2 linked regions of the Kluyveromyces lactis genome follow. The protein of the gene in region 1 interacts with the protein of each later gene in a pairwise test. Links are inferred from orthologs where the notes say so. Each region holds a gene or a part of one and is shown on either strand. Other genes may lie near its edges.

The links. The genes of interacting proteins can lie anywhere in the genome.
Region 2: the proteins of SLA1 (region 1) and INN1 interact in a two-hybrid assay, tested with the Saccharomyces cerevisiae proteins (2 studies listed by BioGRID, with this or other methods). The link is inferred for Kluyveromyces lactis from reciprocal best matches to the Saccharomyces cerevisiae genes SLA1 and INN1.

Annotation. Positions count from the first base shown.
Region 1 is NC_006037.1:445,897-450,335, reverse strand, and holds the start of SLA1 (cytoskeletal protein-binding protein SLA1), read left to right. Parts: upstream 1-1,548; coding exon 1,549-4,439. Other genes in the region: 2-hydroxy-palmitic acid dioxygenase MPO1, read left to right, coding at 225-746. UniProt on the Saccharomyces cerevisiae protein: Component of the PAN1 actin cytoskeleton-regulatory complex required for the internalization of endosomes during actin-coupled endocytosis. The complex links the site of endocytosis to the cell membrane-associated actin cytoskeleton.
Region 2 is NC_006037.1:996,889-999,893, forward strand, and holds INN1 (Inn1p), read right to left. Parts: upstream 1,736-3,005; coding exon 569-1,735; downstream 1-568. Other genes in the region: KLLA0_A11550g (uncharacterized protein), read right to left, coding at 1-263; THO2 (Tho2p), read right to left, coding at 2,000-3,005. UniProt on the Saccharomyces cerevisiae protein: Required for the ingression of the plasma membrane into the bud neck at the end of cytokinesis, leading to the separation of the mother and daughter cells. Stimulates the synthesis of the primary septum (PS) by CHS2.

The DNA of each region.
Region 1 (4,439 bases):
ATGAGTTGCCAGGTTCTTCGTATATCTTGGTAAAGGTAACTGTAGTGCGTTGATGTGTTTGCCACCAAAATTATTTAAAAGTTGAAATTAGAGTTAAAATTGAAATGAAATATTAAGGAAGGGGAAGACAACTGAGATAATGCAATCAATAAGAAAAAAAACAGCAACATCAAAAAACACAAGCAAAGCATCCGTGTTACGGTTTTGCGCTACCAAGTCTCAGAATGAGTCCCAGTCTTCTAGATCTAGAGACGCAACTAGCGTTCTACAAAGCTTATCATAACAATACTGGGAATGTGTTAATTCATAGCATTTTTGTCCCAACGATTCTCTTTACATCCATGCGTATATTGAACGACGTTAAGATCTGGAATGGCTATACCTTGACTCATTTGTTAGCGTTGTCATTTGGGTTGTTCTATATACTGTTACGAGTAGGTACCGGAATCCTTGCGTCGTTGATATTGGCACTGACGTGCAAATTTTTGAACGACGGGACTATTAAGATGACACAGACCACTGCCTGGATATTATTTGTGATCAGTTGGATCTTCCAGTTCATTGGCCACGGTGTTTTCGAGAAGCGCAAACCTGCGCTTCTCGATAACTTGGTGCAAAGTCTTGTGCTAGCGCCATACTTCATCCTTTACGAATTACTATTTATTTTAGGGTTCATGCCTGAACTTAAGAAGAATCTACAAGCTCGTGTTGACAAAGAGCTAGATCGTATGAGAGCGAGTAAATAAACTTAACCTCCGTTCGCCTAAACAGTATATATGCTCTATTTATGACTTCTATGATGATGACAATAACGATACTTGAACCCATGATGGAATTGAAACATCAATCACGTGATATAGAAATGATCTCTTTTTTTTCTTCTTTCTATCAGATCTCTGCGATTCGCAGTCACATGACTAGAACTGGGCAAGAACCCCTTTTTATTTCCAGATCCGGGATCACCGTATCATCATGTACGAAACACAACCCCGGGTAACCAAAGGATCACAGAAAAACAATTCGAAAACTGCAGGTTCTTGTACCACACTGCCAGGAACCGGTGCTGCGTGCTGTCGGTATTTTCATTTGTTCTTTTTCTGAGTGAAAATGAGAGAATCAGAAAATGAGAAAAGATTAGGCCCAAAATAATTGAATAAGTCTATCAATATACTTAGAACATATATAAATATATATATGTCTATACATATATAAGTAATTCGTATAAACAAGTTTTAGCTTGAATTGGGTTAGAAAGGCCAGACAAACTCTTGAGGTTTAGATAGAGTGCGCGAGTTGCATTGCAATTGTGCAAAAGAGAAAAAAAAAAACCAATCAAAACGGAGAAATAAAAGGAAATAGCATAATACCGAAAAGAGACGACAAAAAGGAAGTGTCTCGTATTCCTGCATTCTTTTAGTTTTTGATTTCAATTTAGTTTGGATAATTAAATTTGATTGGCGATTTGTATAGGGATCCTCTTGGCCTTGTATACAATCTGGAAGCTTATAGGTCCTTTTACTTGGCTCCTGACGCATTTAAATACCTACAATGACGGTGTTTTTGGGTGTTTACCAGGCGCTTTACGATTATTCTGCGCAAACAGATGAGGAACTAACTGTCAAAGAGGGTGATCTATTGTATCTTTTAGAAAAATCTAGCATTGATGATTGGTGGACCGTTAAGAAGAGAGTTATCGGATCTGATCAGGATGAACCCGTAGGTTTGGTCCCCAAGACATATATTGAAGAGGCTCCAGTGATTGGGAGTGTAGTTGCGCTTTACGATTATGAACAAGTTCAGAATGCCAATGAGGAATTGGTATTCCATGAAAACGATACGTTCCAATTGTATGACGATAGGGATGCAGATTGGTTCTTGGTGAAGAATACCAAGAATTCAGAGGTTGGGTTTGTGCCAGGTAATTACGTGGAAAAACAATCGCAGCAAGCTGGAGGTCCCGCTGCAGGAGTTACACAGTCTAAGCACCAAGCCCCAGCTGTTCTACCCCTTTCTGAACTTCCAGCTCCACCTCAGAGGTTGGACAGAGTCAATTCTCAACCATCATTCAGAAGCGGATCTACCCCTGCTGGCGCTGCAAGTACAGCAGATGCTCCAGGAGCTCCATCTACATCGACACCACCACCAGCATCAAATGCAGGCGTTGCGTCTCATACAACTATGCCAGTTGATGTTTCACTGCTCCCTCCACCTCCAAAGAGAAACGATACGGCAACCACAGAAGTCCAGCGTGAGTCAGCAGTAGCAGAACCTCCAGCAATGCCTCAAAGACCTTCTAATACTGAACACCAAACAAGTTATCGTGATGACCCAAGAGACAATAATAGAACTTCCCAAATAACTAGAGATTATTCAGATGATGAGCGTGATTACGATTTCGATGACGATGAGGAAGATCAACCTCCACTGCCATCTAGAAATGGAAGACCTTCAGCCTCGACCGCTGAACATGTTTGGTCTGTTAGTGAGGTTGATGGTCGTAAGAAATGTAAAGCTACGTTGACTGTTTCTGCTGAACGTATTCATTTCTTCTCTGCAAAGACAAAAGTGGATCAAGAATGGGCAGTTAAAGATTTGATCAACTATAACAATGAAAAAAAGCATCTATTTCTTGAATTTAAAAACCCTTACATTAACTTGGAATTGCATACTGGCTCTAACGATCTGGCTAACGAGATCATGGGCGTCTTGGGTGAGATTAAAGGTGCCCAGACAGCAGTTGGGTTACGTGAAGTTGAAGCTGCTTCAAGGCCTGCCATGACCAAGAAAAGAGCTAAAGCTGTATATGACTTTTTCGCTAACTCTCCTGATGAACTCACCGTTAAAGAAGGCGACTACATTAATATCTTAGATGACAGGACTTCGAAAGACTGGTATATGTGTGAATCTGTAGAAACAGGTAAAAGAGGCATTGTCCCCGCACAATTTGTCGAAACACGCGGATCAGGCTCATCAAGGCCTTCTGATGAAAGCCCTTCTAGGAGTAAGTCTAAGACCAGATCCAGATCTAACACTTCTAACTTTACTCAAAATTTAGTTGGCAGCTGGAAAGAGGATGCTGATCAAGATGTATCGAAGAAAAAGTCTAAAACTTCGAGCTTTTTCTCCAAGAAGAAGAAAACTGATGATAAAGAGTTCCCTGATCCTAAAAAGGTTAGAATTTGGGTAGACAGAAGTGGTACTTTCAAAGTTGAAGCACAGTTTTTGGGCTGTGTCGATGGGAAGGTTAACTTACATAAGGTGAACGGTGTGAAAATTGCTGTTGCTGCAGACAAATTGTCCGAAGATGATATTTTGTATGTGGAAAGATTGACGGGTATGTCTATGGAGAAATTCAAACATAAACCCAAGAGTTCAAATAATGACAGTAGTGCAGTAAACGCAGAACGTGAAAGAAGAAGAAAGGCTAAGGAGCGTGAACGGGAACTTGAAGAAAGAGAACGTGATAGACAATTAAGAGAGCAAGAACTTAAAGAGTTAAAGAGGGCTAGAGATCTCTTGGAAAGCGAAAGAGAAAAGCTGAGGAGTGCACAAGACAAAGAACTGCCACCTGTGAAACCACCAAGACCAGGCAGTGAAGCAAGCAAAACGCACCCTGTCACAAAGAGCTCCAAGAATCCCGAATACGATTGGTTCGAATTTTTCTTGAATGCTGGTGTTGATGTCAACAATTGTCAACGCTACACCATTAATTTCGAAAGAGAGCAAATTAGTGAAGAAATCTTGCCAGATATCGAGCCTTCTTTATTAAGAAACTTAGGTCTACGTGAAGGTGACATTTTAAGAGTAATGAAGTATCTAGATAACAAGTTTGGCAGAACAAAGGAGGCTTCTCCATCAACTGGATTGTTTACTGAAGCCGATGGATCCTTGAAGGTTAACCATACAGGTGCTCCCGCATCTGCAGGCGTATCTCATAATCTATTACCAGATAGTAATTCATCGAATAGAGATGATGATGCATGGACTGTTAGACCTGCTGCTAAAGCCAGCGACAGCTCCAACAAGGCTCAGGATTTCTCTGGGTCACTTCAAGATTTGCTTGATTTGCAACCTTTAGAGCCGAAGAAGAAAGAAACACCAGCTCCAGATGTCAAGCATCTAGAATCTGTCACCACTAACGGTTCGAATAAAAAGGAAGAAACCCCTCTGTCAGCAAATAAGACGGGTACTTCTTTGGTTCCATTAGATCCATTCAAAACTGGTGGTAATAATCTAATCCCTATTACTACAGGGGGATTCATTATGATGCCAGTAGCAACAGGCGGTTTAATGCCATTCCAACCGACTGGGGGGCTAGTACCTCTGCAAAGGACTGGAGGTATGATTGCACCTCAAACAACGTTTGGTATGCAACCAACAGGTACTGTCTTGCCAGTTCAAAAGACTGCGAACGGTTTGATACCAGCGAACACTGGAGG
Region 2 (3,005 bases), about 550 kb from region 1:
TTAATAAAATCCTGGTCTAGGACGTCCCTCCGTCGACAACCAAGAAGATCATTCTTCAATCGTGGCCTTCGCCTAAATATAATGAACTCCATATTAGTATCCCAGTCTGCAGCTCTAACATTAAGTTCTAAGTTTCCCCTAATGGAATTGAATCGTATTGCATTTTGACCCAGTTTTAACATGAAGTATGTTCCAACTTCAAGCTGTTTTCCGACAGTTATTTTACTGGGCAGAATTATCAATTTACCATCTTGTCGTATCATTAATCCACTGCAGTGAGGTTCCTAATTCGAATAGTATCAAACATAATACAGCAGAGTCTTCTTTCGAGTATTCTTGTGCGATTACTTTAAAGTTCTTTCTTTATATATTCTTTTCTCATCTTAGGACCCTTTGGTTGAATAATCATGCAAAAAGGCTTAGCATTGACAGAATTCAAGGTGCAACGATTGAAACCATTTTAGATTCCAAGGCTTCGAGAAGATAAGAGGAACATCTAATATGAGTAGTGATAGAAAAACTTTTAACTGTCTATCCTATCAATGATTATGTAGTTCTAATAAGTCATTTATAATGGTGGTGGTCTCCTCCTTGTTGGAGAAACCGAGCCTGATCTTGAAGAAGGCGAAGAAAAAGAATTTGGCAAGTTCGGTAGCCTTGGAGTAGTAGGTTGTCTCACAGGAGATTTTAACGGATATTTTTGTCCGGCTGAATGTCTCACTGAAGATTGGCTGGATAGTCTTGAAGGCGTAGTCGGAAGAGGTGGTAATGGCGGTTCAACAAACGATTTTGTAGGAAGGTGATTCATAGGCGATGGCTCGTCAATGTTCGTTGGTATTCTTGAGCTTGAGCTACTCTCGAGACCGCCACCTACCACTTTCTGTAAGACTTCCAAATCCATCGCAGTGTTGGTGATACTCTCTGTAGATGGTACCGAGGAGCCGTTCTTGAAATAATTCAATTTTTCTTTGATCAGCTTTAACTTGTCCATCAGCCCATCAGTAGATTGGCTTTGTTGCGAATGATAGGTATTTGCTGTAGCATTAGACCCCATCGATGAATCAAAATCTATTCTTTCACTTGAAGCGTGTGATGATCTAGAAGTATCGAGGTTTATAGGTAGATCAGGAAGTGGAGATTTTATATGAGAGCCGTGAACGTATTGGCCTGGGGATGCGGAAGCAACGAACCGCTGCTCACTTGCCGATGTCTGCAGTTCATATTGTGCATGTAACTCCGGTGGATCTGACGGTAGTGGTGGTACTGACCTGGACTGTACACTGGAACTTATTTTTGGAACATTGTCGCGTCTGTCTTCGCTAATGTTATTTGGAACAAAAGTCAATTCAATATACACCTTACCAGCTTCCAAAGGACCCCTCTTCAGATGATACCACCTATCATGGCCTTCTTCAGGGTCACTTAGTAATGCAGGCAAAAGATCAACATCGCACTTCCCAATGAGCTTCGAACCATGTTTGTGATCATGGTCATCGTACAGTTCAACGCAGAGTAGAGGCTTGATATCGGGCGTTAGTTGAAAAACACAATGGTAATCAAATTTTGGAGTTTGGCCGCCTCTGTATATCACTGGAGATATCTCCGTAAGATGAGCTACTCTTAACTTGACGAAAGGATCTTGCTTGTCTAACTTTCTTAGATTTGGAAGGTCCTTCGCTTTACTCACATAAACATCTAATCGACCATTTGCTCCGGTTATCACGTTATTGCTCATTACACTTAATGCCTATATCGATTGAAAGGTGTTAACAGTGCTTATTGACCCATAAAGAAGCTCTATTCAAACTGTAAATATGTAGTTTAGCTTGATTCAATCTTATATTTACATAGGTCTATGTTTTTCAACATTTTTCATATTGACAGTTTTACGTGGTAAGAAGCATCAGAGTCTCAGGGAAAGACCGTACAAAATCGAAGATAATTGGTAGCATATATTATGCTATGCTATTTAACTAAGTGTCGAGTTAAGTATTTTTATTCACCTCGAATATCTCGATCCTCCAGATTGTCTTTTTGGACCAGATGGTAATGGCGATTGGTTATTTGTAGAACGATCGTTCAACTTAGGCTTTTTAACGTTTGAGAATCTGCTTGAACTTTGGTAAGATTCATCAGATTGCCTCTTTCGTGGTTCGGAGGGAGTATTAACGAATTTCTTCCCTTGATTGAATGGTCTGCTAGGAAGCTGTGATGTGTTTGAATTGCTGATACTTCTGTTGCTAGACGAATCTTTTCTTGGGCCAGATGGTAATGTGTTTTGGAATCTGCTAGATGAACCTGAGCTTGCAGGACCAGATGGTCTTGAGGAAGTATCCGGAGGCTTAGACGCGTTGGCTGGTGCTCTTGGCAGAGTTGTTGAGGCTATACCATGTTGATAACGAGAAGAAGCTGCCTTTCTTGGTTCACTAGGTATTGGACGGTTACTGGAAGTGTTGGAGTTCCATCTTTCACCACTGTACTTCGATGAAGGTTTAACAGGTACTACTTCATCTTCATACATACTTCCAGGTGTCTTGGTTTGAGGCAAAGGAGCAGATTTGCATCTTTGAATAAAATTTTCAAAGACAGATCTGTAGTGATCAGGTGGATTACTAGTGACTCGGTGGTAATAGTCCTCGAACAATATCTTCAATTTGTTTCTAAATCCAGAGATGTTGCCTGGAGCTTTTATCAATTTTCTAAAATCACTCTGAGTGTTAGAATCGTATATCAAGGGAATGGCTCTGGTGTACTCAGCATCCTTAATGTACTTCTCGATCTTATAAAAGCCATCCATGACTTGCGATGGAGATGGAGAATTGTTGGATATGGACGACATGGATGGTGCGGTAAGTGAAGATGTTGCAGCACCGTTCTCAGCATCCTGTTGTTTTGCCTTTTCCCTTTCCTTTTCTTTCAATTCTGCTTCTTCCTTTCTACTTTGCTCTGCTTTTGCAGCTTCCTTCATATCTTGGTACCTTTTGATGAGATTCATCTCGTCTTGC